2 linked regions of the Oryctolagus cuniculus genome follow. The protein of the gene in region 1 interacts with the protein of each later gene in a pairwise test. Links are inferred from orthologs where the notes say so. Each region holds a gene or a part of one and is shown on either strand. Other genes may lie near its edges.

The links.
Region 2: the proteins of RHEBL1 (region 1) and TXNL4A interact in a two-hybrid assay, tested with the Homo sapiens proteins (2 studies listed by BioGRID and IntAct). The link is inferred for Oryctolagus cuniculus from reciprocal best matches to the Homo sapiens genes RHEBL1 and TXNL4A.

What each region holds. Positions count from the first base shown.
Region 1 is NC_091442.1:52,523,211-52,538,671, reverse strand, and holds RHEBL1 (GTPase RhebL1), read left to right. Parts: upstream 1-8,479; 5' UTR 8,480-8,728; coding exon 8,729-8,780; intron 8,781-9,309; coding exon 9,310-9,381; intron 9,382-9,730; coding exon 9,731-9,798; intron 9,799-10,066; coding exon 10,067-10,149; intron 10,150-10,233; coding exon 10,234-10,290; intron 10,291-10,466; coding exon 10,467-10,514; intron 10,515-10,846; coding exon 10,847-10,928; intron 10,929-11,077; coding exon 11,078-11,167; coding exon of another isoform or gene 11,168-11,174; 3' UTR 11,175-11,568; downstream 11,569-15,461.
Region 2 is NC_091441.1:290,300-304,915, forward strand, and holds the end of TXNL4A (thioredoxin-like protein 4A), read left to right. Parts: intron 1-6,472; coding exon 6,473-6,576; intron 6,577-9,588; exon of another isoform or gene 9,589-9,591; coding exon 9,592-9,763; 3' UTR 9,764-10,539; downstream 10,540-14,616. UniProt on the Homo sapiens protein: Plays a role in pre-mRNA splicing as component of the U5 snRNP and U4/U6-U5 tri-snRNP complexes that are involved in spliceosome assembly, and as component of the precatalytic spliceosome (spliceosome B complex).

The sequences.
Region 1 (15,461 bases):
GCATCCTATATGGGTGCCAGTTTGAGACCCGGCTACTCCATTTCTGATCCAGCTCTCTGCTATGGCCTGGGAAAGCAGTAGAAGATGGCCCAAGTCCTTGAGCCCCTGCACCCATGTGGCAGACCTGAAAGAAGCTCCTGGTTTTGGATAGGCTCAGCTCCAGGCGTTGTGGCCATTTGGGGAGTGAACCATTGGATGGAAGACCTCTCTCTCTTTCTCTATCTCTCTCTCTCTCTCTGGCTCTACCTCTCTGTAACTCTGTTTTTCAAATAAATAAAATAAATCTTTTTTTTTTTTTTGACAGGAAGATTTAGACAGTGAGAGAGAGAGAGAGAGAGAGAGAGAGAGAGAGACAGAGGTCTTCCTTCCGTTGGTTCACTTCCCAAATGGCTGCTACGGCTGGCGCGCATTGCCAATCCCAAGCCAGGAGCCAGGTGCTTCCTCCTGGTCTCCTATGCGGGTGCAGGGCCCAAGCACTTGGGCCATCCTCCACTGCCCTCCTGGGCCACAGCAGAGAGCTGGACTGGAAGAGGAGCAACCGGGACAGAATCTGGCGCCCTGACTGGGTAAAATAAATCTTTTAAAAAAATACTTACTTATTTTTATTTAAAAGGGAAGGTTAGAGAGAAAGAGAGAGAGCCCCTATACACTGGTTCACTCCCCAAAGGCCACCATAGCCCAGGCCAGGGCCCCAAGTATCTTGGCCATCTTCCTCTGCTTTCTCAGGTGCATTAGCAGGGAGCTGGATCACACGTTGAGCAGCCAGGACTTAAGCCAGAGCTCATATGGAACACTGCATCACAGACAGTGGCTTAACCTACTGTGCCACACCATCTTTGGATTTTCTTACTACCAACTTTAGCTACTTCTAAGTAAGTTATGTGGGGGTGTGTGTTGGGGGGCAGTGCTGTGGCATATAGCTGCCACCAGCAGTGCCAGCATATCATATAGATGCTCCACTTCCTAATCCAACTCCCTGCTAATGTGCCTGCGAAAGCAGTGGAAGATGGCCCAGGGGCTTGGGCCCCTGCATCCACATGGGAGACCCGGAAGAAGCTCCTGGCTCCTGGCTTCGGATCAGCCCAGCTCCAGTGCTTGCAGCCATTTGGGGAGTGAACCAGTAGATGGAAGATTTCATACTTTGTTTCTGTCTCTCTCTCTATGTCTCTGTCTCTCTGTAGCTCTGCCTTTCAAATAAATAAATCTTGAGGGGGAAAAGTAAGAATATTTGAGGCCAGTGCTCTGGTGTGGTGGATAAAGCCACTGTATGCAATGCTGGCATCCTATATGGGCAACAGTTCATGTCCTGGCTGCTCCACTTTTTATCCAGCTCCCTGCAAATGGTCTGGGAAAAGCAGCGGGAGATGTTCCAAGTGCTTGGGCCCCTGCCAGCACCCTTGTGGTTAAGCTTCTGGCTTCAGCCTGGCTCAGCTCTGGTTGTTGTTACCATCTGGGGAATGAACCAGCAGATGGAAGATCTTTCTGTCTCTCCCTCTTTGTAACTCTGGCTATCACATAAATAAACAAATCTTAAAAAAAAAATCTGTGAAGCCATAGCTTATAAATAAATTAACACATCTTCTATTTTGTTTATTTTAAAGGCAGAATGACAGAGAGAGAGGGAGAGGCAGAGCCCAGGCGCACGAGGTGAGTGCTCTTCTATTTGTTGGTTTACTCCCCAGATGGCAGAAGCCAGGAGCCAGGACTTCTTCTGGGTTCCCACATGTGTGCAGGGGCCCAAGCACTTGGACCATCTTCCACTGCTTTCCTAGGCTCATTAGCAGGAAGCTGAATCAGAAGTGGAGAAGCTAGGACTCAAACCAGCACCCATGTAAAATGCTGGCATTGTAGGCAGCTGCATAACCCACTAAGTGATAACTCTGGCCTCAGAAAACAAATTTTTTTAAATTACTTTATTTATCTGAGAATCAGAGTTACAGAGAAAGAGGGAGAAACATCTGTTAGTCCACTTCCCAAATGTCTCAGTGGCCATAGCTGTGCTGATCTGAAGCCAGGAGCTTCTTCCAAGGTTCCCACATGGGTGCTTTCAAGTTGATATAAAAAATTAAAAAAAAAAAAAAGAGAGAAAAGAATGAAAAAAATGAATAAAGGGCATTTGGCCTATTTGGTTAAGATTGCCCATATCCCACATTGTAGTACCTGACTTCAGTTTCCTACTAATGTGGACCCTGGAGGCAGCAGTGATGATCCAAGTAGTTGGGTTCCATTTACCCATGTGGGAGACCTGGATTGGGTCCTATTGTGAACATCTGGGGAGTGAGCCAGGGGATGGGAGCTTTCTCTGTCTATCTGTTTTCTTTCTCTATATCATCTATCTATCTTCTATCTTTCTACATTTCTATCTCTATCTCACTATCTCTGTATATCTATCTCTGTTTCATTATCTCATCATTGCTATTTTTATCATCTCTGTGTCTGTTACACAAACAAACAGGGGCCATTACTGTGGCACAGTGGGTTAATGCCCTGGCCTGAAGCACCGGCATCCCATATAGGTGCCAGTTTGAGACCCGGCTGCACCACTTCCGATCCAGCTCTCTACTATGGCCTGGGAAAGTAGTAGAAGATGGCCCAAGTCTTTGGGCCCCTGCACCCAAGTGGGAAGTCTGGAAGAAGTTCTTGGCTCCTGGCTCCTGGCTCCTGGCTCCTGGCTCCTGGCTCCTGGCTCCGGATCGGCTCAGCTCTGGCTGTTGCTCCCAACTGGGGAGTGAACCAGCAGATGGAAGACCTCGCTCTCTTTCTCTGCCTCTCCTCTCTCTGTGTAACTCTGACTTTCAAATAAATAAATAAATAAATCTTTAAAAGCAAGCAAACAAAACCTGGCTGGCTTATCAGAGAGGGAGTGGGGAATAAACATTTGGACCCTCTATCTTCCATCTCAGTGCTTCTACTAGCAAAACCTAACTAGAAGCCAATGGCGTTAGTGCAGTTCACTAGGGATGCCTTCCAGGAACAGATACAGGATGGAAAAGGGGAGAGAGGACCTGAAGAAGCAAATGGAAGGCATCAAGTTAACAGGAAGCACAACTCTGAAGTTTGGGTCTTCAGAGAAAAAGGCTTCAGATTAGAAAAGAGGGTGACAGCACCAGAAAGTACCTTGTTAGCTCATTTTTTTTTTTTTTGTAAATTTTATTTCTTTATTTTCATTTGTTTTGAAAAAGCAGAGAGACAGAAATATTTTATCTGCTGGTTCACTTCCCAAATGCCTGTAACAGCCAGGAGCCTGTCGGGTAGTGGCTTAAGCTACCGCCTGCAGTGCCGGCATCCCATATGAGCACCAGTTCAAGTCCTGGCTGCTCCAGTTCTGATCCAGCTCCCTGCTAATGCACCTGGGAAAAGAGCAGAAGATGGCCCAAGTCCTTGGGTCCTTGCACCCATGTGGGAGACCCTCATGAAACTTCTGGCTTCAGCCCGGCCCAGCCCTCCTGACCATTGCAGCCATTTGGGGAGTGAACCAGGAGATGGAATCTCTCTCTCTTTCTCTCTCTCTGCCTCTGACTCTCTGTAACTCTGCCTGTCAAATAAAAAAATAAATCTTAAAAAAATGGTCATTTTAATTGTTAGGCCAAGAACCCACTCTGAGGAACTTTTAGCTCTTCTGTTCCTGGTAGAGCTTCCAGGTGACTGTAGCCAACTGAGTGTGGCCAGCAGAGGAAATGGAAGAACCCCAATCAAACTCACAGAATACTGAGAAATCATACATCCTTTAAAGATTTACTTATTTAGGGACTGGCACTGTGGCATAGCAGGTAAAGCCACTGTCTGCAGTGCTGGCATCCCATATGGGTGCCGGTTGGAGTCCTACCTGCTCCACTTCTGATCCAGCTCTCTGCTATGGCCTGGAAAAGCATTGGAAGATGGCCCAAGTCCTTGGGTCCTTGCACCTGCGTGGAAGGCCCCGAAGAAGCTCTGGCTTTTGGTTTCTGATCAGCACAGCTCTAGCCATTGTGGCTGTTTGGGGAGTGAACCAATATCTCTGTCTCTCTGCCTCTGCCCTTCTGTAACTCTGCCTTTTAAATAAATAAATAAATCTTTAAAAAAGTTTTTTTTTTAAATCGTCTTTTTAAAAATATTTATTTATTGGCCGGTGCCGCGGCTCACTAGGCTAATCCTCCGCCTAGTGGCGCCGGCACACCGGGTTCTAGTCCCGGTCAGGGCGCCGGATTCTGTCCCGGTTGCCCCTCTTCCAGGCCAGCTCTCTGCTGTGGCCAGGGAGTGCAGTGGAGGATGGCCCAAGTGCTTGGGCCCTGCACCCCATGGGAGACCAGGAGAAGCACCTGGCTCCTGCCATTGGATCAGCGCGGTGCGCAGGTCGCAGCGCACCGACCGCGGCGGCCATTGGAGGGTGAACCAACAGCAAAAAGGAAGACCTTTCTCTCTGTCTCTCTCTCACTGTCCACTCTGCCTGTCAAAAATAAAAAAACAAATTTATTTATTTAAAAGGCTTAATGAGAGAGAGAGAGAGAGAGAGAGAGATCTTCCATCTGCTGATTCATTCCTCAAATGGCTGTAATAGCTAGGACTGGCCAGGCTGAAGCCAGGAACCAAAAACTCCATCTGGGTCTCCAATGTGGATGGCAGGGATCCAATCCAATCCCTGGGTCATCGTCTGTTGCCTTCTCAGGGACATTAGGAGAAAGCTGGATCATAAGTGGAGCAGTGAGGCCAGTGTCGTGGTGCAGGGGGTTAAGCCACTCCCTGTGATGTGACATGGGCATCCCATATCTGAGTACCATTTCCAGTCCCAGCTGCTCCACTTCCAATCCAGCTCTCTGTTAATGCATCTGGGGAAGCAGAGGAAGGTGGCCCAAATGCTTGGGGCCCTACACCCACATGGGAGACCTGGCTCCTGGCTCCTGGCTTCTGCCTGGCCCAGCACTGGCCATTGCAGCCATCTGGGGAGGGGGGGTGAACCACCAGATGGAGGAGCTCCCTTTCTCTTGTTGTCTCTGCCTCTCTTTCTGTAACACTTTCAAATAAATAAATCAATCTTTAAAAAAAAAAAAAAAAAAGGCGGCAGAAGGGAGCATCTGGATGGAAAGTGGAGCAGCCAGGACTCAAACCTGCACCCATCTGTGATGCCAATGTCTCAGTTTTTTTTTTTTTTTTCTAACACAAGTTATTTATTGTTTACTATGTAGATTGTTGGTCTTTCCTGAAAGGATACTTGTATCTTCCCAGCAAAAATTTTACATTGTTCACTACTGTATCCCAGCACCAAGAAGGTACCTGGGACTTGGGAATAGTTTAATAAATATTTGTTGGCAGATGTATGAATAAAACCAATTATCAACCTTAGAGCTGCTGTTGTGAATATTAAGGTTTTGTTGATTTATTTTTGAGAGAGAGAGAGAGAAATCTTCCATCCATTGGTTTATTCTAAATGCTTCACAAATAGCCAAGGGTGGGGCCAGACCAAAGCCAGGAGCCAGAAACTGCACCTGGATCTCCCACATGGTTGGTAAGAACTCAGAACTTGTATCATCTGCTGCCTTCCCAAGCCCATTAGCAGGAAGCTAGATTGAAAGCAGAGAAGCCAATCCTTGAACTGGCATTCTGATTTTATATATATATAGCACCAGTGTCTCATGAAGTGACTTAACCCATTGTACCATAACATCCACTCCTGTAGTGAATATTAAAAGAGGTAACTCAATTACCTGGCTTATAGTAGAACTCTATAAATTTAGGTGTTTTCCTTCCTCTTTTCCTCTCCCTCACTTCCTCCTACACAATCCTTCAGCAAGTCAGCTTGACCACAGCTTAAAAACATAACATGGGGGCAGGCGTTGTGGCACAGTGGGTTAAGCTGCCACTCGGATGCTTGCAGCCCATACTGGAGTGCCTGGTTCTAGTCCCAGCCACTCTATTCTTCCTATTCAGCCTCCTGCTAATGTACCTGTGAAGCAGATGATGGCCTAAGCACTTGAGTTCCTGCCACCCATGTAGGAGACCCACATAGAGTTCCTGGTTTACCCCTGGCTGTTGCGGGCATTTGGAGAGTGACCCAGCAGATGGAAGATCTGTCTCTTCTCTCTGTGTCACTCTGCCTTTCAAATAAATAAATGAATGCATCTTTTGTGAAAAACCCTGGCTTTTCTGTTCATTCATCACCACCACTGTAGTCAAACCACCTTTGTAGCTCACCTGGACTTCACCACTCCACCTACCAATCTATTAGCTGATCTCCTGGCCCCCCACTCCTAATCCTTTCTCCACATTCCGAGAGATCTTATACAAAAACAATTCCAAATCATCTCACGACTCAGTTTAAATATCTTCTGGTGCTTCAAATTAGCTCAGACCTTTTTCATTTAAAATTTTAAAAAGATTTCTTTATTTGAAAGGCAGGATTATGGGGAGAGAGACAGAGAGAGCAAGAGGGATCTTCCATCCACTGGTTCATTCCCCAAATGGCTTCAACAGCTGGGACTGGGTAAAGCTGGAGCCCAGATCCTAGAATGCCATCCAGGCCTCCGAAAGGCAGGGAGCCAAGGACTAGAGGCATCTTCCGCTGCTTTCCCAGGCTCAATGGCAGGGAGTTGGATTCACAGTAGAGCAGCGGGGACTGGGTGCCATTGCTGTGGAAGGCGGCTTAACCCGCTGCACCAAAATGTTGGCCTCAGCTCAGACTTCTTAGTGGCGGGGCCTCTGTCTTCCTCTTCAGAGTTAATCTGGGTGCCAACGTCGCGGCTCAATAGGCTAATCCTCCGCCTTGCAGCGCCGGCACACAGGGTTCTAGTCCCAGTCCAGGCACCAGATTCTGTCCCGGTTGCCCCTCTTCCAGGCTGGCTCTCTGCTGTGGCCGGGAAGTGCAGTGGAGGATGGCCCAAGTGCTTGGGCCCTGCACCCCATGGGAGACCAGGAGAAGCACCTGGCTCCTGCCTTCTGATCAGCGCAGTGCGCCGGTCGCAGAGCGCCAGCCACGGCGGCCATTGGAAGGTAAACCAACGGCAAAAGGAAGACCTTTCTCTCTGTCTCTCTCTCACTGTCCACTCTGCCTGTCAAAAGAAAGAAAGAAAGAAAGAAAGAAAGAAAGAAAGAAAGAAAGAAAGAAAGAAAGAAAGAGAGAGAAAGAAAGAAAGAGTTTATCTGGGGACTGGCGCTGTGGCATAGCCGGTAAAGCTGCTGCCTGAAGTGCTGGTTCGAGATCTGGCTGTTCCTCTTCTGCTCCAGCTCTCTGCTGTGGCCTGGCAAAGCAGAAGATGGCTCAAGTCCTTGTGCCCTTGCAATCGGGTGGGAGACCCAGAAGAAGCTCCTGGCTCCTGGCTTCGGATCAGCGCAGCTCTGGCCCTTTAGGGAGTACTCTAAATAAGTAAATCTTAAAAAAAAAAAAAAAAAAAAAAAAAAAAAAAAAAGAGTTCATCTGGTTTAGGCTAACTGGCTGTCCCGCTGGTTCCTGGAATTAACAGAATTAATTTTCATTTTAGCACTTTTTAGCATTCTTGATTCCTGCTTGAGAATCTCTGGCTAGTCGGCTCCTCATTGTTATTCAGATTTGTTTAAATGGGGCTTCCTCTGAGACTATCACTGATCTAAAGTGATCACTCCTTTTTCATACCCACTTTTCCTTATGTTTATTTCTCCCCCAGTATATTTTTTTAAGATTTATTTATATATCTGAAAGATTTACAGAGGGAGAAACGAGAGAGCGAGATCTCCCATCCATTGGTTCGCTTTCCAGATGGCCACAACGGCCGGAGCTGGGCCAGGCCAAAGTAAGGAGCCAGCAGCTTCCTGCGGGTCTCCCCTGTGGGCGGTAGAGGCCCAAAAACTTGGGCCATCTTCGGCTACTTTTCCAGACCATCAGCAGGGAGCTGGAATGGAAGTGGAGCAGCCGGGACCCACACGGGATGCCAGCGTTGCAGGCGGCGGCTTAACCCTCACGCCGCAATGCCGGCCCCGGACCGCCCAGATTTTAAATTTCTTGAAAACAGAGACTCTACCTGTCATTTCCCTTGCTTTAACCCTCAAGTTGGAGCAATGTCGTGTATGCTCAAAACATATTTGCTGAATAAATGAATTATGATGACGACGATGACGAAGCCTCAGACCAACTGGTCACAAGTTATAGTAATTTTCTCAAGAAATGCAGTTCCGAAGTTAGATCCTGGAAGACTGGAGACCAGGTAACAAACGCCACACGCCTCAGGGTGGTGGATGGAAGACATCGAAACTCTGGCTTCTTCCCTCCTATGCAAAAGTAGGCCTAGAATCGCTTGACCAGAAACTGCAGTTGCACCACAACTGGCATTTTCTTCGCAGCCACTTCAGCCTGGCAGCAAACGCGCAAACACCTCTAGGACCCCGGGTTCCTTTCTGTTTCTTTATGAATGAACCGGCTCCAGTGCGCGCATGCGCATCTCGCCGTTCTCCCGTTCCACGTGAGGCCCACCCTTCCCTCCTGCTGGAGACCCCGCCCTCATCCATTCTAACAGACCAATGACAAGCGGCCTTGGGGGCGGAGCCGGCGCGGCCAGGCACTGTAGTTCCCCCGGCGCCCGGCTCCCTCGCGCTAGTCGTGCTGTGTTGTGATCACGTGGCCGGCTCCGGGCGCGGCGCTTGTTTTGGTTTCCTCCAGCTTGCCCTGCAAGCCTCGAGGTTAGCTGCTTTCTTGCACCGGTTGCCGCACCTGCAAACGCCCTGGTCTCGGGTTCCTCGGGCTCCGCCCGTGCTACCCGAAGCCCTCTCGGGGCGGGCTTCTGCCATGCCGCTGCTCCGCTACAGAAAGGTGGTCATCCTCGGATACCGCTCCGTAGGTGAGTCTCCGCCCTGCGGGAGCACGGCCGCACCCCGCGTGGTGGCCGGCGGAGGCGCGCTGCCGCACCGGGAGAGCAGAGACAAGGACTGAAAGGGTGGAGGAAGAAAGGCTGGCGGTGTGTGCGGGGCTGCAGGCAGCCGGAGCACGCAAGGGTTAATGTGGGCTTGGCTGCAGGGAGAGCAGCAGGGTCTCCGGCGATACTCTGGGAATAAGGGTTGGGGTCGATTGAAGACGGTGGCGGGGCGGGAGGCGGGAGGGCGCGGTCTGCTTGGGGCAAATAGTCGCAGGTGCCCTGGGGCGGGGAAGACTTGATCCTTGGGGAACCTGGATCTTCTGGGGGGTGGGGGTGGGGGGGCGGAAAGGCCGCCTGTGGTGCTCTTGAATGCAGCCTGTAGTGCCCAGACTGGTGTGGGCGATGAGAAGAATCGCTGCTTGAGACACTCAGACCGGCCCCCGCTCCTTTGAAAGAACAAGAGGGTGTGACTGTGGCTGGATGATGTGGATACAGCTATCTTTGCTCCCCACAGGGAAGACATCCTTGGCACATCAATTTGTGGAAGGCGAGTTCTTGGAAGGTTACGACCCCACAGTGGAGAACAGTGAGTCAATTTCTACCCTGATGTGGCTGGGTTGGAACTAGTTGGGCTTAGCTGTTCCATCCAGCGTTATAATTTGGGATTTCTCTGGTGTCAAGGAGTGGATTTGTTCAGACATTGCTTCTAGCAGTCTTGTTTTATGATTGGCTAGCATGTGGATTTTGCAAGATAACCTCGTACACGAAAGTAGGGATATAGACAATAAAAACCTTGCATGTGTTTCCCGTTTCCTGGAGAGCTCCCTGGAGCTGGTCCGTCTGTGTCACTTTCACCTTCAGGGTTAAGGATGCATGGGGGCATACATCTCTAGCCCTGCAAGATGTCTCACAGTCAAGTTTTCTTTTCTTTTCAGCTTACAGCAAGATAGTGACTCTTGGCAAAGATGAGTTTCACCTACACCTGGTGGATACAGCAGGGCAGGTACCAGTTGGGGTAGGGTTTCCATATGTAGCAGCTCAGCCCTAGGTGAGTCTGCTAACCTCTGGTGCATGTGTAAAGTAGCATCAAAAGAAAAACATGTAAGCCACTAACAATGTGCTAGGCTCAGTGCAGCTGCTCCAAACATACTTGTTGAGTAGAGGTGACTAGAGTAGGGAATGCCCCAGGGAGGGTTAAGTGGATGCTGTCCCACCAACCTTTGCCATCTGAGAGGTGTGGATCTAAGGTGCTGATGTTTCTTTCTCGGTAGGATGAGTACAGCATTCTGCCCTATTCATTCATCATTGGCGTCCATGGTTATGTGCTCGTCTATTCTATCACCTCCCTGCATAGGTGAGTGACCAAGGTTGTGGAACTTGGGTGGATCTTACAGTTGTCCCAGAACTGAGGTTATAGCTCCATTTCTTGTATTTAAAGCTTCCAAGTCGTTGAAAGTCTCTACCAAAAGCTACATGAAGGCCATGGGAAAACCCGGTAAGTGGCCCTGAGGGTGGGCAAGGAGCAGAAGGAAGAACTGTGTAAGTTAGAGAGGAGGCTGGGACACAGATCCTGTGGCAGCCTGGTGGGGAGCTGTCTACCTTGACTTCAGGGAGGCTGGGGTCCACATCGATCAGGAAGAGAACCTTGCAGTAATTGCTGTTTCCTTACAGGTTGCCAGTGGTACTAGTGGGGAACAAGGCGGATCTCTCTCCAGACAGGTGTGAGTCCTTGCTACCCAGGGTGGACAGCAGTGAGCTGGAATGGAGCTCAGCAGAGCTGTAGCCACAGACCCAAAGAAATCGTTTCACCTCTTTGCTTTGCTAACTTAAAGGTTAACAGGATATAGCCCTTGAAACGCAAAAGCAGGTCCCTATTTCAAACCTAAGTCCATGGTTCACCCATGCTTACTTTGTTTACCTGCATGTTCTTCCTTCCTCAACCCTCATCCCAAACCGTGGGTACATGGGACAGGTTAGAGGAGGAGGGCTAGAGAGCACTTGGGGGTCATTGCCATCTTCCCTCCATGCTGACTTTCCACACTTGTTCGCAGAGAGGTGCAGGCAGTTGAAGGGAAGAGGCTGGCAGAGTCCTGGGGTGCGACATTTATGGAGTCATCTGCTAGAGAGAATCAGGTGCTGGTCCTGATGATTAGAAAGGTGTTGGGTGGTGCTCTTCTTAGAGCATTGCTGGGGGTGGGAGGGTGGGGTGTTTGCCTCTGAACTAGGTGGTCTTGATTTTGGACTCACTCAGTTTTTTTGCCTTGCATCTATATCCCTTATAGCTGGCTCAAAGCATCTTCACCAGAATCATCCAGGAGATCGCCCGGGTGGAGAATTCCTACGGGCCGGAGCGGCGCTGCCTCCTCATGTGAGCCCTGAAGCACAGGATGATGGCTTCAGGTCTGCCCCTGGCATTTGCCAGGCTCCAGTGGTCCAGGGCAGGGCCAGCAGGCCCTCAAAGACTTCACGGGTACTGTTGCCACCGCGCAGTGTGGCACCCTTCATGTGTATACACTTTCCCTGGGCTCCAGCAGCCTGGGCGTCACTGTTTACAGTGGGGCAAAGATGTGGGTGGGCACTGGCCTCTGGCCCCTGTTTTTTGCTGTATGAATTCTGTTCTAACCAGCAGGGCTGGGATGTGGGAGTCCTGGTCCCTGTTTATCCAGGTCCATTCCATCCTGTGTTGGTTGGGTGAGCTAAGCTGGAGGCACAGGAAGCAGAGCTGGCTCCCTGGGATGACAATGTACATATGCAAATAAACTAAGAACTCTTTTGTTGTTGACTTCTCTGAATCTGGGGAGAGTGCCGAGCCAATGGCTCCTCTTCCAAGCAGTGATGGCTGTGACCTATGGGGAGGTAGGGGGAAGCGTTCCTACCCCCATTGCTTCCTTTCTTTTAAGCACAGTTACCCTGAAACTTAACTACTTACCTTCCCTACCTTTCCATTCTGCTGGGTTCTCTGTCCCCTCGGCCGCCACTCCCACCAGTTTGTAGGCACTGGAGATCCCCTTCCCTACAGAAACACCACCCCCTAGTGGCCAGATGCCACTTGCTGACCCAGCCATCCTGGTGGGGCCTTGGCATTTGCTAGGACCAGAGGGAAGGGTTTGGGAGGAACGAAGTCCCCCATGCCTGAGTTTGTGGCAGTGGAGGAGACTAGAGGCAGGCATTAAAAGTGTTGTGAAGATCTGGATTCCCAAGAGTTGAGTAAAGGAAGAAATAATGTCCCTGGTGTATATCCCTGGTGTGTATCTCCCTGCTGCCCCCTTTCCCACTGCCTTCCATTAAAATGGACTTTGCTCCTCTCATACGTTTGGTAATCTTTTGGTAGCTTTTACACCATTGGAGTTGCCCCATCTTTTGGTAACAGGTTACTGCTTCTGCCTTTTCTTACCTCTACCACCTCAGGAGCAGGATGAGAAGTTCAGCCAGGAAGGTTTGGTCCTGTTTGCCTCTAGTTTACCCGACCCTTCCTCTTCCAAGGACTTCTAAGGGTTCTCTAAATGGTGCATTTTTACAGGGAAGACACGGACCTCTCTTGCCAACTGTGAGAAGCGTTCCTACCCCCATTGCTCTGTCCGGGCACTTACTTGGGGAGACAGGACAGAAGCTATGTGGGATTTTTTTTTTTTTCTTTTTTGCTGAGACCCAGCTCTGGCTTCTGGTTGGAGCTGGTGGTTTGTCATGTTGGTTTTCAAAGGTCCTGCCAGCTGCTTTGGCTTCTGATTCAGAATATGAAAAGAAAGGAGATGTTCGAAGAAACATAAAGAATCGTCTCAGTTGCCTATAAGGTTCTCCAGGGTTGTCACCAACTTCTCACATTAAAATCATGTCCATTTGCATCTCTGGCCTGGTGTACTTGTTACAGGGACCCACCCACCCACTGCCGCTTCGAACTCTAGCGTAAATTTACAAACATCTGAAGTTTTCTAATAAGCCATCTCCAGGCATGAAGACAGTAAAGAAAAATGGCTCATAGCTGGTTGATGGCATCTCCACCTAGATGTGTGAACTTGGGCATTCGCTTAACCTCTCTGAGTCTGTTTCTCATTTATGAAGGATGCTTCATAAATCTGCTTCATAAATCTGAAGTGACAAACACTTACATATTGTGATATGTAATGCCAAGCACAATTCTTTATATATAAAACATCAGAAACAGTGGCCGACAACTCCTGAAGGCCTTTCCGACGGTGACCTGGTTCTCCTTGCCTCTAGGCACATGAGAGTAGGGAGGGGGTACCTTCCATTTTCCAACATCTGTCTCTTGGTCAATTTAATCTACCGCAGCTGAGACAGGGGCAGAGTCACTGCTGGAGTTGGTTGCTGACCTAGGTGCTCAGCAGAGAACACGGTACTGGTGTGTAACAGGGGGCATGCCGGGTCCCTATCCTTCCTCTAAACCTGGCCGGTAGGGAGTAAGGTTTCCCGTCCAGGAGGAAACCACAAACTACATATGGCTAGTTATGCTTAACTTGGTTAAAATGAAAAGTTACCCATCTTCAAGGTGCTCGATGGTGGCAAATGGGTACTACATCAGACAGCGTCAGAGTGCAGCAAACCCTTTCTCACAAAACCAGCTCTGGACCCACACTGCCTGCTTCCTTCTCCACCATCTTCCTAGGAAAAACACGGCCCTTGGTTTGAATCACGGCCCATCTCTTCATCAGTGATAGGCAGCTCAAGCCATGTAACTCTTAAGAGAACATCTAAAGAGTATAGAAAGTATCTAACACATAGGTAATTTGTCTCCTAGCTGCCCCACGTGTAAAGTTCAGTCTTCCCAATCCTCTCACCTAAAGTTAAGGAGGCTGGGGGTGGGGGGGGGTGGGGGGAGGGCAGGGTGCCTGCCTGCAAGGAGTGTGTTTTGGGACCTTGTCTAGAGCGACAGCGCGCTGGCCAGGTATCAGCAGCGAGCCGACCTTCGTTTATTGAAAAGGGACTGGAGATGGGGGTGGGGGCACCGTGCAAAGGTTAGGGGAGCTCTCCATGTATGCTCTGGTGGGTCTATGTGTGTGTGCCCGCGGGCTGTGCGGGCATTCACAGCCCTTTCCCCACGAGGGGCTCTGGGAGCCGGAAGGAAAAGAGCCAGCATCGTCCGGTTTTCCTCGGGGCCCCTCCGGAACGTGGCAAGAACCCACGCCAAGCGCCGTGCCTCACTTTCTCCATTTGCGGACTCCAGTTCCCAGGATTCCGAGCAGCGGCCAATCTCCTGGCTCTCTCCTTCCATCCCCCTCCTCCCGGGAAATACTGCCCCTGGCCAAGGCAAGGGGGACAGTTCAAAAAGAGTTGCAAGGGCCAACGACTGCCAAAGGGACGGCATCAGAAGGCGGCCCGGGGTCCCGGGGCTCACAGACCGGGAGGCACAGGCGGCAGGTCCCGGCCCCGGCGCGGAGGAGGGGGCTCGGTTCCCACGTGTCCGCGCCGCCGCCGCCACCGCCGCCGCCGCCGCCGCCCGGCACCGCCGGGGTTAACCCGCGGCGGAAGGATCCGCGGCGTGTGCGTAGAACTGCAAAGTCACAGCCCTTCCTCCGCGAGGGCCGAGTCCCTCCGCCGCCCCGCTCCAACACAAAATAGGGCCGCCTCTCCTCCTTTCTCCCCCCCGTCTTGAGTGGGGTTCTCCGGGCAAGAGGCCCTCCCGGATTTCGCACCGGAGGCTTCGCGAATCTCCACGACCGCCGCCCAGGTCTCGGGCCAGGAAATAAGCCCCTTCGGAGGAACCACCCTACCGGCCGAGCAGGAGGCGGAGGGGGTGGGGGGGAGGCGGAGCGGCGCCGCGCTGCACTACTTTCCTCTCCGGTTGCAAATGGCTGCCTCGTTCCCCACTTTCCGCTCAGTTTCCTGACCCCCCGGCGCCGGGAGCCGGGGTTGGGCCATGCACCTCTAGGCCCCCCGCGACCACAGCCAGCCGGGGGTCGAGGGGGTGCCGCTGACCGGAGCCGGCCAGGCCGGGGGCGGGGCAGCTCCCGAGGCCAGAGGGGAAGGGAGGCGAGCGCTGGGCCTGGAGCGGCCGGCGGGGAGCGGGCAGAGGGCTCGTACCGCCCGCCCCTTCCTCTTTCTCGCCCACCTACCCTCCTCCTCCCTTCCCGGGGTGGGGGGGCCGGGGAGCAGAAGGTGGGGGGCTCGAGGCCGCCGAGGGCGAGCGCTCGGGGTCGAGGAGCCCGGCCGCTGGGTGTGTGTCAGGCTCAGCCCCGCGGCCCCGCCGGCTCCGCGTCGCCGCCGTAGCTCGCGCGGCCCCGGGGCGCCGGCCCGGGGCGGGGGAAGAAGGGCTCGGCGCTGCGGCCGGGGGGCGCTGCGGCCGGGGGGCTCCGCTTTGCTCCGGCCCGGGCGCGCGCGGCGGCGCGGCGCTCCTTCCGGGCTGCGGGGAGGCGCCTCGGCGTTCCATCTGGAGAGCCCCGGCGTTCCGCGCGAGCCCGGCGCGGGCGGCCGGGGCGCTGGCCGGGCCCCGGGACTGAGAGGCCGCCCGGCGGCGCGGATGCACAGCCTGCTTGCCCAAGATCAAAGCCACCGGTGCTCTCTTTGTGTCCGCTCGGGATTCGTCGCCCTGGGGCTGTCCATGGAAACCTAAACTGCTGGAACCCGAAGCAGAGAGCCTCCCCCCCCCCACCCCTTCAGCTGCTTGCTTTTTTTTCGTGGGGAGGGTGGCCACTCCGACCTGGATTTACC
Region 2 (14,616 bases), on another chromosome or scaffold:
TCTCTCTGCCTCTCTGTAACTCTGCCTTTCAAATAAACAAATAAGTCTTTTAAAAAAGGAAAAAAAAAGAAGTGGGGCAGGAGTCCAGTCAGCGCTCCAGTATGGGATGTGATGTCACTGCCCACCAAGCTGTAGCCCTGGCCCCAAGTGCTTCATTTTAATGGGGAGGTGGATTGTGTGGCTCCTAGAAGGGCTACCGTGGTGTTAACAAGACTGGGCTCCCGAGCTCTTGGGGGTGTTGAAACCTGGTTATCACTTAGTGATTCTGGGGGAGCAGTTGAGTTTCTGGCCCCCACCTGGGAGACCTGTGTTGGGTTCCCAGCTCCTCCCTGTAGCCCAGGCCTTTACAGGTACTTGGGGGATCCCTCCCCCTCTCAGAAAAAGAAACAAGGTGGTGAGCGGTAGGCCCTGGTGAGAGGTCCTTGGCTCCTGGTCGCTGCCCTTGGAAGGTGGTTCTTGCAAGAGGGTTGTTGGGAAAGCCTCAGTCAGGCCCAGCCCTTCTGCTCCTTGCCCGATCCACCGCTGCAGTGCAGTGGCCTGACCAGAGGCCAGACCAGTGGACCTGCCTGAGCTTGAACTGGACCCCCAAGACTGAGCCATGATAAACTCCTTCCTTGATAAGTAGCTTTTCTCAGAAGAAAAACAGACTGAAGTGTTAGAACAGACATTTACTGTTGTTGTGATTGAGAGAATCAACATTAAACCAGTGGGGTATGGGCAGGCATGAAGTTGCTGCGTGGAGCACTGGCACCTCACGTCGGGGTTTCCGGGGCTGAGTCCTGGCTGTGCCCCCAGTGCCAGCTTCCTGCTAGTGCAGAGCTGGGGGCAGCCGGTGGAGGCTGCAGTGGCTGAGTCCCTGCCGCTCCTGGGGAGACCTGTGTTGAGTTTCTTCCTCTTGGGTTTTGCCTGGCCCAGTCCTGCTGTTGGAGTTGTTTGGGGGAGTGAACCATCAGATTTCTCACTCTCTGTGTTGTTTCTCTGCCTTTTAAAACACAAATTAGCAAGAACCCAACCTGATAGACTGAAGTTATGGAGTACAAATAAGTGAGATTTGTGCATTTCAAAGTGTTTCAAAAGTTCATGGAAATTAAGTAATGTTGGTGCAAATTTGAAATCCATGCATCATTTTTTTATAATGCTCATTTTGCATGAACTTTTTGAAGGCCTCCTGTACAATTCAGCAACCAGCGGAAGTTACTGCAAAAGTATTAGGTGAAATGTTATTTTAGATACAGACTTTTATGACTAGATACATACAGGCTTACACAAATAGATACATTTAAAGTACCAGGAGTAGGTGAAAAAGAGACATTGCAAAGGTTAGAGGAAGATGCATTCAAGCAGTGTGGCCCTTCGTGGTTGGGTGGTGATCGGTGTGGTGTCCAGGTGGGAGTGAGATGTGGAACCCTTGTGTGGAAAGCGGTCTGTAGGTCTGCGGGCCCTCCAGTCACTCAAGCAAGGGGGCTTTTATGCTGTGAGAACTTCACAGTGGGCAGCAGCACGCTGCGCAGTGAGGGGGAGGGGCTCCGCAGCTCCGTGCCGGCCGAAGCCGTCAGGTGGCTGCTTGGAAGGGGTTTTCCCCCAGAACTTCACTGTTGGCTGGCGTAAAAGCACGGGTGTGGCAGCCTGGGGAACGGGAGGCACTGCCCACTGTAGAACACTTGATTTTACTTGACTGTCCTGTAAAAGCTTGTTTACAGTTACAGTACTGGGTGGTACAAAGCAGTGGTTTTTTCCATTTCTCTGTTTTCAGAAATGGAGAAAAATTGTGGACACCTACCTTCATTTCAGTTCTATGTAAAACATACCTAGGAGTTGTAGTGAAATGTTTGGGAGGACTGGCCCTGTCAGCTGTGTTCAGCCCATGTAGGAGGCAGGCGCCAGGGTCTAGCGAACCGCCCGGCAGGCTGCAGCCTGGAGCTCCAGAGCAGAGGTTGAGGTGCTGCTGGCCGGCAGGCCTGCCCGCGCCGGGTGTGCACGCTTCGGGGTGGTTCCTTTCTTGCTGGGGAGTGTCCACTTCCTGCCCTGGTGTTGAGGTTGATTTGTTCCTGAGAGGAGGAACGTGGCGGGGGCAAGAGGCGCAGAATCACCACACAGACGCCGGGAGGCGGGTGAAAGTGGGCCAGAGGTGAGCAGCCCGCAGGCTCGTTTATTTCCGTTGCTACAGCAGCTTATATAGGCAAGGCAGCCAACCCAGTCAAGGGGTGGTCTGTGCCCCAACCAATCACAGCCTGTTGCCAGGCAGGCTCCGTTGCCAGGTGGGTTTCAAAGCCATTCGTGAGTAACTGACGCTGGCTTGCCAGTGGCCATCTTGGCATGGCCTTCTCATTCCACCACATTTCCCCCTTTTTGTTTATTTTTGAGCAACAGGAGGCATGACTCTTGGCCATACCATTGTTGACCCCGTTTCCATGTGGTCTCCATACGCAGCTGTGCCTGTCTTAGGTTGTCTCCCAGGGGATCTTACCCATTGTTGACTAACCAGCACTCAAATCCAGAGACCACAAGAGTGCTTGCTCAGATGGGGGTAGGAATGAGGAACAATGTTTATCTGGAATGGCATGAGCACACACAGGCTGTGGGCCATTTGAGTGGTTGGCCAGAGCTAGTGGGGTATAAAACAGTAACAGATGTGGCTATGGGCAGTTCCTCAGGGTAGGATGATAGGGCAGGTGCGTCCGCTAACAAGGCAGATTCTTAGTCTTGTTCAGCTGGTTCTGGTTGGCTGTCAGTTGCAGGCTTGATGTTTCTGGGTGGTACCCAAATGGGCTGTCCCGCATCCTCTGGAAAGACAAGCATATCCTCGGCCCTTGGTTACCAGAAGCCTTTCTAAGGGCATTGGAATCCAGGGCCTGAATTCTGTGTCCACTCCTACATTTACGGCAAACATGCAGGTGGGATGGGGTCTAGCGGCTGCCCTGAGAGCCTCGGGTGCCTGAGTACTGCCACAAATGTGGGAACCCTCACTGGGTGCGGATGGGATGACCTCGCATGGGTTATTGTCTCTAGGTCCTCTAAGTCATCCCACGGGTATTTGGGGGGTGGCTGACTTGGCGTTGCTACATTGTTTGTTACCTTGTTTGCTACATTGTCATTTTCACTGTCCTGGCTCTCCCTAAGTCATCAACTGTTTCCTGTAAGACAGGGACCTGGAGTGACAGGCTCTTATCACTCACAGATTCACTGTGTTTGGTAATCTGCGTGCGCTTCTGAGAGGGGGGTATCTTTCCCATGTTTGAGCACTTAAGAGCAGTGCGCCACACCAACTCTAGCCAAAGGAAAGACACGCACAGCACTGCTGCCATAACAAAGCAAATTCCTAGCACCTCAGCGGCTGACGGCATTGTGCAGGGGTTCCCTACGTTAGATGACCAGACAGTGCTGTGTGTCAGATCGTAAGTATGTCCTGTGCTTAGTGGGGGACTTCCTTGATTCGTTAGGTCAAGGCCATAGGCCCACACGGTGTCTCCGGAGCATCACCTGTCTAAAGTGAGGGAAGATGACTTGGTTCCGAATTCTGGGATGATCAGTCCCTTATGTGAATTCACCAGGTGAACCGAAAGTAAGAGGAGCTGAGAAGCGGCGTACGCTTCTGGGCAGTGTGTGCTTAACCTGGGGTCACTTAGACCGAGGACAAGGACAAGGAAAGGGGTGTAGGAGGGGTTCTGTGCTCACCCTCACAGAACCGAACAGCACACAAAACACCGAGGGGCCCACTTGCCGAAATCAAGGGGGGACCTCGCCGAGTCCGACACGCTGTCTCTCTCAGTCATGTTGGCGCACCAGATGTTGCAGTTGATTTCTTCTGAGAGGAGGAGTGTGGTGGGGGCAAGAGGCGCGGAGTCACCACACAGACCCTGGGAGTTGGGTGAAAGGGGCCAGAGGCTGGCAGCCTGCAGACTCGTTTATTTCAGTTGCTACAGCAGCTTATATAGCCAAGGCAGCCAATCCGGTCAAGGGGCAGTTTATGCTCTAACCAATCACAGCTTGTTGCCAGGCAGGCTCCGTTTGCCATGTGGTTTCCAAAGTCATCCAATCACAGCCTGTTGCCAGGCAGGCTCCATTGCCATGTGGGTTTCAGAGCCATTCTGACACTTGCTTGCCTGCGGCCATCTTGGCATGGCCTTCTCATTCTACCACCCGGGCATGGCCCCTGAGTGGGCATGGACTGAACTGGCTCGTAGGGCAGGATGATGGTCCTCTCCAAAATCATTCTCAGTGACAATGTGTTTCTTGAGTTTGAACACATTCAATGTTAAAAAGCTCTTCATGTAACACATACTTACCTAGCAGCACACGTGTGTACGAGACATGTCTGTGGACATGGCAGACATTCCTACCTCTGGGAGGCCCAAAGCCATGCTCAGTCTACACGGGAAGCGAGAGAGGAGTGGGTGCTGTGCTGTCGCTCGGTGGTGGCGGATCTTCCTCTGGGTGGTCTACAAGGTTCTTACTGAAAAGGGAGAGCCTGCTTCTAAAGGTTGTATAAAATGAGGATTTGCGTCTTGAAAATTACATGGGATCATCGAGTTAGGTATTTGGATGTCATCATTTACAAAATAGATACTAAACCACTCTGAAGAAGATGGGCTCCTTGTGTCATTTCCCGCTTTAAGCCGGGAGGTTGGCGATGCTGAGAAGCAACTGACTGAAGGACCACGTTGACTCTGGGGGCCTCTGAGCTTTCAGTGGGGTGTTGGAGAACACATGGAGTCCAGATATTCCCAGGAGTAGAGAGGAGTGTGTAATGAGCCCTCTGTTCCTGTCCTCGGCTGCAGTGGTTATTAATACGTTGCCATTCTCATGTTGTCTAGCCCTGATTATGCTGCAGCATTTAAAGCAAATCCCAGTTACCACATTATCCCATCTGTAAGTTAGAGTTGGATGTTAGAGTGACTTTGGAAAGAAATGTGGGTGGGTGCCTGTCTCCCATGGCTGCCAGAAAACGTCACAGGCCGGGTCTGCTCACAGTGTGGAGACCTGACATCCAGAGTCAGGGGCAGGGGTGTGCTCCCAGGACCTGGGAGAGAGCCTCCTCCACGGGGTGGAACCCACCCTGTCCTCCTTGGCCCCACAGCTTGTGCGCAGCACTTGGTGATGGGGGCCCACCTGCTGTTCCTGGAGAAGTCACACGCTCGGCATTGAGGTTGGACCTTATATGTAGCAGTGTGGACACAGCCCTGCTCAACACACGGAAGTGGTGTAAGCTTTCCGGAGGGTGTTGGCAGTATTTGTTTGAGCCTTACAGATGTCATATTCCATGGTCCAGAGGTTCTCTTGGGAATTCATCCTTAGGAAATGATGGAGTGTGTAAACAGTATAAGGGTACAGTTCACAGGTAGCATTAGTGTTAATGGAACATTTGATTGAGTCATGAAAAATCAGAAACAAAGTAACAGGATAGTAACAACATGGCCACTGGTGAAATAAGATGTAGAAGCTTGTGTTTCTGGAAGATGGGTAATTTGTTAAGGGAATGATCACAATGAAAGCAGGATACGTAATCTTGTAGTCTGACAACTGTATGATCACATTTCATAGAAACAGTACACATAGAATCTTTAAATTTTCTAGTTGATTTAAAAAAAAAGATTTATTTATTTGAAAGAGAGAGATCTTCCATCCACTGGTCCACTCCCCAGTTTTCCACAACGGCCAGGGGCTGGACCAAGCCAAAGCCAGGAGCTTCTTCCAGGTCTCCCACGTGGGTGCAGGGTCCCAAGCACTTGGGCCATCTGCTGCTGCTTTCCCAGCCATTAGCAGGGAGCTGGATCAGGAGTGGAGCAGCCAGGACTCGAACTGATGCCCATTTGGGATGCCGGTGTTGCTGGTGGTGGCTTTACCAGCTACACCACAGCACTGTCCCATAGAATTTTTTTTAACATGCCCTGAAAGTGGGGGGAAATGTGGCAAAAGAATTAGAGAAAAGAGGTAGAAGAGAAATGTAACAGAGGAATTAGACCAGTTACCTGCGGGTATTGAGGCTGGAGGTGATTTTACTTTCTTTATATTTTTCTGTTTTCTCTAAATATATTCTCTGATGAACTTGCAGTTAAAGAAAAAAATCACGGAAAATGTGTACAGTATCACCTGGGGTCCTGTTGGTACTGGCAGATGTTCAGTCCGGGACGGCTGGAAGGTCGTGGACGGCTGAGGTCTGCACACGTGTGGTTTAAAGCAGTGGCTCAGCATGCAAGCCCAGTTGTGGCAGCTCAGTGGGCTTTCGGGATCTCCCGTGAGTGCCACACTGTGAAGGCACTGTGAGAGACGCCAGAGTGAATCGTCAGAAGCCAGCTCCTCACGGTGTTGTGTGGTTTCCTTGTGTGCTAGCTTACTGGGCAGGAAGTGCTGGAGAATTCATTTGAAAATTGTCCAGTTATGACACAGAGTCTTGTTTTTTTAATGTGCTTTAACATAATGAGAGCCAAATGGATCTGTAATTTTAGTTTTTCTTAATTTCTTTTTCTCGTAGGTTAAAAATTTTGCGGTTATTTATCTTGTGGACATCACAGAAGTGCCCGACTTCAACAAGATGTACGAGCTGTACGACCCGTGCACGGTCATGTTTTTCTTCAGGTATGTCTGACCTCACGCACGGGTGGTCTGAGCTTGGCCGTGATCAGCAGTCCTGCAGGAGCAAGCCAGTTATGTGGTCACGTGGCCAGGGGATCCCTGTGAGTCTTCAGTAATTGTCAAAGTACAGTTCCAGTTTCCGTGTTTACTCAGTAACAAGTTCCCCTCTTGAAGTAAAGTGGCCAGGAAGGCCAGCAGGGTGCCATTGAAATAGAGAAGTTACTCTCACTGCCGGCGTCACTCACCAGTTACCACGTCAGCACCTTTGTTTAGTGTCCTTATCAGTTGGCTTTGCTTAAAGCATGTTTTCTCCGCTCTGAGTTCTGTTGAGTTATTTGGAAACAGCTTGGCCAGCAGCAGTGAGAGCACCGGCCACACTCTGGGATGGGCGCCTCCCAAGGGGAGCAGAGCCGGGGTGTGTGCTCTGTGCCCGCAGGCCTGCTGGTGAGGCTTTGGGCAGGGTCAGCTGCAGGACTCGGTCGCACGAGGCAGAACCGCGGCTGGGCTGCTCTCCGCTGTGGCTCATCCGGCTCCTTGTGCTCGTGGGTCTGCGGTCGCTGTGCCCTGCTTGGCTGGGAAGGCGCTGGCCGGTCGAGTCACTCTCACAGTCTCAGTTGGACCTGAAGCCCTGCTCTGGGCACTGGAGTGGCTCAGGTGGTCCAGCGCAGTCTGTGTGTCACATCAGCTAAGACTGGGAGCCCGCCTGGCCTCTCCAGTGCTCACAGGCGTGGGGTCTCAGTGTGCGCCCACCAGGAGTGTGCTGCCTGCAGGCGCCTCTGCCGCAGCCTCACGTCCCTCGGGCCGGCTGAGGCTCTGCAGACACCACTGCACCTGTGCGGCCCTGAGAGACCGAGAGGGAAGGGAGTCCACTGCCCCACATCCTGGATGGGCCCAGGAAACAGAACTGGGAGGGAGGCGCCGATCCACGGCCCGGCAGACTGGTGCCTGTACCCAAGTTTCCCTGCCTCATGAGCCGTGTCTGCCTCTGGGTCCTTTGTTCCTGGTTCCTGCGGTAGCCCTCTCGGCCGTCCCCAGTGTTAGAGTCGGGATGCCCCACGAGCAGGGAGGGGTTCCTGGCTCACCCCTTTCGCTTGTGACTGGGGTCTGCCACCCTTGGTCTTGCCTGGTTTCAGCGTATTTGCCATCTGCAGAGTCTGAGGGTTTATTTTCCTTTTTAAAATATTTATGTATTTGTTGGAAAGGCAGATGATAAAAGAGGAGAGATCTTTCATCCACTGGTTTATTCTCCAAGCCAGGCTGAAGCCAGGAGCCAGGAACTCCATCTGGGTCTCCCATGCAGGTGCAGAGGCCCAGGCGCTTGGCCATCCTCTGTGCAGCACAGCCCAGATCCAGAGGGGAGTGAGCTCAGTGTGCCCCCCTGCATGTGTGAGGGATGACTGACGTGGAGCAGGCAAGAGGGGGTGGGAGACAGGTGTCCAAATCCCAGCGAGCGTGGGAAGGCTGTCCTGGACGTGACCGTGTGAAGCGGAGCGGGGCATCAGATGTGCCCATGGCTCACCCTGTCGAAAGGAGGCCACACGGGAGCCGTCCCCTGAGGCCAGACCTGTGATCCTATAGGAGTCACTGAACGTCTCGCCTTGGCAAACCCGGGAAGACTCAAATAAAACAAAGGGCCTATGAGAGCACAAACTCAGGGAGGAGGTCTGGCTCCTGGGAGGTGCAGTGTGTGAAGATCTTTCACTTCCTTGATCACAGAAATGCAAAATGTCATTTTAATTTCACAGGTCTGGGTCTTTGGGTAGAGTTTATGCTAAGCGTCTCTCAGAGCACTGTGGAACCTTCCGGTGCTTCTCCAGGTGGACCAGTGTGGCCCTCGTGTGTCCTGACCTTTAGTTGCCCTGGAGGGTATTTGATAGCCCAGGAAAAACAGCACCGAGCGAGCTGTGTTGTGCAGCAGAGTCTGTGTCCTGGAAGGGTGTGAGCAAGCGGTAGGAGCAGGGGAGAGTGGGCGGGTCTCCGTGCAGGTTCTCAGATCCTGATGGGAGTCACTAGGAGCAGGGGAGTGGGCGGGTCTCCGTGCAGGTTCTCAGATCCTGATGGGAGTCACTAGGAGCAGGGGGAGTGGGCGGGTCTCCGTGCAGGTTCTCAGATCCTGATGGGAGTCACTAGGAGCAGGGGGAGTGGGCGGGTCTCCGTGCAGGTTCTGAGATCCTGATGGGAGTCGCTAGGAGCAGGGGGAGTGGGCGGGTCTCCGTGCAGGTTCTCAGATCCTGATGGGAGTCACTAGGAGCAGGGGAGTGGGCGGGTCTCCGTGCAGGTTCAGAGATCCTGATGGGAGTCGCTAGGAGCAGGGGGAGTGGGCGGGTCTCCGTGCAGGTTCTGAGATGCTGATGGGAGTCACTAGGAGCAGGGGGAGTGGGCGGGTCTCCATGCAGGTTTTCTGAGATCCTGATGGGAGTCACTAGGAGCAGGGGAGTGGGCGGGTCTCCATGCAGGTTCTGGGATCCTGATGGGAGTCACTAGGAGCAGGGGAGTGGGCGGGTCTCCGTGCAGGTTCTGGGATCCTGATGGGAGTCACTAGGAGCGGGGGAGTGGGCGGGTCTCCGTGCAGGTTCTCAGATCCTGATGGGAGTCACTAGGAGCGGGGGAGTGGGCGGGTCTCCATGCAGGTTCTGGGATCCTGATGGGAGTCACTAGGAGCAGGGGAGTGGGCGGGTCTCCGTGCAGGTTCTGGGATCCTGATGGGAGTCACTAGGAGCAGGGGAGTGGGCGGGTCTCCGTGCAGGTTCTGGGATCCTGATGGGAGTCACTAGGAGCAGGGGAGTGGGCGGGTCTCCGTGCAGGTTCTGAGATCCTGATGGGAGTCACTAGGAGCAGGGGAGTGGGCGGGTCTCCGTGCAGGTTCTGGGATGCTGATGGGAGTCACTAGGAGCAGGGGAGTGGGCGGGTCTCCGTGCAGGTTTTCTGAGATCCTGATGGGAGTCACTAGGAGCGGGGGAGTGGGCGGGTCTCCGTGCAGGTCTGGGATCCTGATGGGATCGATGCCTTCCTCCCCAGGAACAAGCACATCATGATTGACTTGGGCACCGGCAACAACAACAAGATCAACTGGGCCATGGAGGACAAGCAGGAGATGGTAGACATCACCGAGACCGTGTACCGCGGTGCCCGCAAGGGCCGCGGCCTGGTTGTGTCTCCCAAGGACTACTCCACCAAGTACCGGTACTGAGCCTCGGCGAAGCCATGGGGCCGTCCCCGCGCGGGGATGGTGCAGAGCGCCTCAGGCCTTGGGAAACAGCCGCGCCCGAGGCCTGGAGCTCTTTGCAGCGCCCAGCCGGCCGTCCTGCTCCGCGTGCTTAGCCGTCTGCGGAAGGCGCTGTTGTGTCCAGCTGTGGAGGCAGGAAGCCCACGGGGCAGCCTGGGCTCTGTCTGAGGCCGTGGCACAGGGTCTTCTGCCTGGCTCCTGGTGCCTCCTCCTGCGCGCCTCCGTAAGGACACAGCCACGATGGACGGCGGCCCACCTGCCCCAGCTGCCCCAGCACGAGCTCCCGCCACTGACTGCGTCTGGGCTGACCTGTTGCTGGGTGGGGCTGCAGTGTGCGGTCCTGAGGCTCGTCCAGAATGCTGCTCTCCCCACAGGGGCTGGCAGCGCTGTCGTCACGGCCTCAGGCACACTGTGTCCTGTCCGCATGGTGAAGTCCCTTTCAGGGCAGGCCTTCGGCCCAGCGGGCTAAGGCAGCACCCGCAGCACTCGAGCCCTGGCTACGCTGCATCTGGTCAGCTTCCTGCTAGTGCCCTTGGGAAGGCAGTGGATGGCTCAGGTGTTGGGGCCCCTGCCACCATGTGGAGGCTCAGACGGAGTCCCTGGTTCCTGGCGTCAATCTGGCGCTGCCCCAGCTGGTGTGGGCATTTGAGGAGTGAACCAGCGGACAGGAGATCCCCATTTCTATCCCTCCCTCCCTCTCTGCCTTTCACATAAATAAATAAATAAATCTTAAAAAAAAATGGAAAAGGTGTCTTTCCTGCAGCCTGTTTCTCTTCCACGGTGTGCGTTCACGCTGTGACATGAGAGGGCGTGCGCACCCTGGTGCCCTGCGGCCTCTGTCTGGCTTCAGACCCAGGCTCTTCTAACTGGGCAGTTGCCTTGGCTGCTCTCCGTACACACGTGTTAACACAGGAAGCAGTGCCTGTTGGTAAGTAGTACCTTGTAAACGTGTTCACACCTGTGAGGCTGTGCTTGTGGGTACATATGTAGTGCTGTTGTTAGGGTGAGGTGGTTAAAACAAGGAATGCTTAATGGGAAATTTTGTACATACAAATGTGCAAGCCTGTGGTTTACTCTCATCCATTTTTCTGTACAATGAGGAGTATAGGCCCTTGCATGGTGTCACAGCCACCAGAGTGAGGGGTGCTGGGAACATGGAGGAATCGGGGCCTTGCTGCCCTGCTGGGGGTGCTGTAGGATGGTCAGACAGGGCCTCAGACCTGGTGCTGCCTCTGGACCCTAGGTGGGAGCCCAGAGAACTGAGCACCTGAGTCCACACAGCTGTGCTGAAGAGACTGTCCACCGGCGGTTTAACCGTGCTGTTGGATGTTACCAATTGGACGAACCCTGAGACCACCCCGCTGTGGGAAGATGCAGAGCCTGTGAGTTCAGGGTTGCCCAAGCTGGAAGAGATGGGTGGGTGTCTGAGGTGGGTGGTGGGTGCATGGCTGTGTGGGGACCGCTGAACTGTCCATGGGAGGTTCCCAGGGGGTGTGGGTCACATGTTAGTGTGGCTTCCATGTCTAAGTTTCTTGTAGACATGTCACTGGGTGAGCACCATGGATGGGCATTGTAAGTAACAGGGTTCTTCCCAGTTCTGGGGTCTGGAAGTGCCAGGCCGAGGTTCCAGCTAGTGAGGTGTCTGGTGAGGGTGTGGGCGCCTCTGCACAGCCCCACAGGAGCGAGGGACTCTCCGGGCCCATTGTCCTATGAGCTCAGGGCCCCAACCCACAACCACATTGAGCCTTAGTCACCTCTGCAGAGCCCCTCCCCCCCAAAAGTAGGTTGGGCTGTGCATGGATGCTCCGCCCAGGGCTCAGACGTGAGCCACATCTTCACATGCTACCTTGCCTTTTGCTTGAAAGCAAGCAAATTGCAAGTCAATTCCACAAATCCTTCAACGCCTACCAGGTAGATGCTTAGCAGAGACAGAGACTAAAGCTTAGATTGCCCCAAGTTTAAGTAGCAGCAGAGGATGTGCACTTGAACGCTGACCTGATGGCTGCCCTCGCCTCGTCTGCTCCCCGTTGCTTCGGGGCTCTGGGAAGGAGCTGGCGGGGCTGTAAGCCTGGGTTCCAGACGGTAGGAACTCGGGTCCTGGAGACAGGCATGCACACACAAGGAGGTGGGCACGAGCGTGTGTTGCAGCATTGTTTGGAAACAAGTAGTCAAATAGAAAATAGATTAATTCAAACGACTGCTGCTCGGTGGTGAGTGAGTGAGAGCCACAGCTGTGGACAGGTGAACTAGGGGAACAGATGTGAAACCACGTGTCCACAGGGGGCTGCGTTTTTCTGACTGCACCAGTGGAGCCCTTCGCTACCATCCACACACACCTTAAGGAGCCATACCCAGGGCCAAGATGCACTCTCTGGGTTTCTTATCAAAATGTAGGTGCAAATTTGGAAAGAAAAATAGAATGAGTACATGAGGACTTGCCTCTTGAGGGCCAGTGCTGTGGCATGGTGGGCTAAGCCTCTGCCTTCAGTGCTGGCATTCCATATGGGTGGCAGTTTGTGTCTCGGCTGCTCCTCTTCCGATCCAGCTCTCTGCTGTGGCCTGGGAAAGCAGCAGAAGATGGCCCAAGTCCTTGCCCCCTGCACCCACGAGGGAGACCCGGAAGAAGCTCCTGGCTCCTGGCTTCAGATTGGTGCAGCTCCGGCCGTTGCGGCCATTTGGGGAGTGAACCAGCAGATGGAAGGCCTCCCTCTCTCTGTAACTTTACCTCTCTAATAAATAAGTAAATAAATTCTTTATTTAAAAAAAAAAAAAAAACTTTTACATGACTTTTATTAACAGCTTTGAGAATGCTTCTCCCCCTGGCATTCTTTTTTCTAAGTTTTTATGGTGTATCAGTCCCCACAAGAAGATCACGTGATCACTGTAGATCCACTGCAGAATCTACTCTGCTGTTCCCCAATCTTCAGCTCACTTTTTTTTTTTTTTCCCCAAAGATTTATTTGAAAAAAATCACAGAAAAAGAGATCTTCCATCTGCTGGGTCACTCCCCCGATGGCCTGGCCAGGGCAAGGCTGAAGCCAGGAACTCCAGCTGGGTCTCCCACGTAGGTCACGGGCCCGCTGCTTTTCCACGCATGGAGCTGGATCAGAAGTGCATCAGGACACAAACCAGCACTCACAGGGGACACTGGTGCTGGGGCTTGACCCACTATGCCACAGTGCTGGCTCCTCCAGCTCACTTTTTAAAGAAATATGAAAGGCAGACTGACAGATCTTCCACCTGCTGGTTCACTCTCCAAATGGCTGCAACTGCTGCGGCTCCATCCAGGTCTCCCACCTGAGTGGCAGAGGCCCAAGAACTTGGGCCATCAGCTGCTGCCTTTCCAGGTGCGTTAGCAAGGAGCTGGATTGCAAGTGGAGCAGCCGGGACTGGATCCCGGCACTGCAGGTGGCGGCTCACCTGCTGTGCCACAGCACGGCCCCTCCAGTTCACTCTGCCAGCACCTGTGGCCTTGACAGCCTCCTGGGCCTCCCTCCTGTTCTTGCTCCTTGCTGTTTCCTTGGAGTCTTCCCACATAGGCCATGCAAGTCTGTGTTGGATTCATTTGTCTTTGCATAACCCTTGGAGTCGTAAATCATGCCAAAGCCACTTGTCTTGCCACAACCGAGATAAGTTCTGAATCCAGATACAGAGGTGATATCGGTGTGGGCTTGTGCATTGGCTCCGTTTCCACAGTTTCTGTCTTGCGCACTGTTGCTGTCCCAGGGTGGAGGACATGGGTGGCTGTTTCCTTGGAAGTCATTAGCTGGCCATGAACTTCCTGTGTCACTCATGATGGCGGTCATGACCCTGGACTTCTTTTGTGGCACTTTTATGATTATCATCAAAAGTGAAGAACATGAACAGTTTCCTGATGCGGCTCCCCTTGGACAGTCAGCAGGAGTACTGTGAAGGCTTCCGACTGTCTTCCACAGCCACTGTGTTGGCTCCTGTCTTCTCTTTGGCCACAGCTTCAACGTCTCCCACAAGCAAGAGGCATGTGAACGAGAGCAGAGCGTTTTTGAAACCCTGAAAATCATTCACAGATTCCCAACAGCAGATAGAATGCCATGAGACCAGAGAACTCGTCTGACCCGCCCACAACACAGGGAGCTGGTCCCAAGGAATGATTCAGACGTGGGCGGAGCTGCAGGGGGCGGGCGCTGAGGAAGGATTTTATTCTGAAAGGTCTTCTGGGCCAGGCGCAGAAGGGGGTTTGGAGGGACTGAAAGATCAGGGGGAGCTCAGAGTCTGGGAGTGTGTCCGTGTTAACTGTGGCCGCGCTTGCACACGGAGTGTGTCCGTGTTGATCCGTGGCCACGCTTGCACACGGAGTGTGTCTGTGTTTATCCGTGGCTGTGCTTGCACACGGAGTGTGTCCGTGTTTGCATGTTGAGTGGTGTGCAGTGCTCTGACACAGGAAGTCAGGTGTGTGTTTAGTTAAACTGGAGAACTGGCAACCTCTGGGAGCTGTGCTCACCTTACTACTAGGATTTGTGTTTCCGTAGTTTCATGGCCTTGTGCTAAATGAGGCTTAAATCACAGGTATATGAATTTAGCATTTGACATTGAATTAACTTTTTACTTAAGTAGATTACCAATAAACTGCTTAAACTTTGTAATAATCTACTCTAAGGCTGTATAACTTTTTTTTAGTATTTATTAATTAATTTGAAAGTTAGAGTTACACAGAGAGAGGAGAGAGAGGTCTTCTATCCGCTGGTTCACTCCCCAACTGGCTGCAATGGCCAGAGCTGAGCCGATCTGAAGCCAGGAGCCGGGAGTTTTTTTCCGGGTCTCCCACCCGGGTGCAGGGA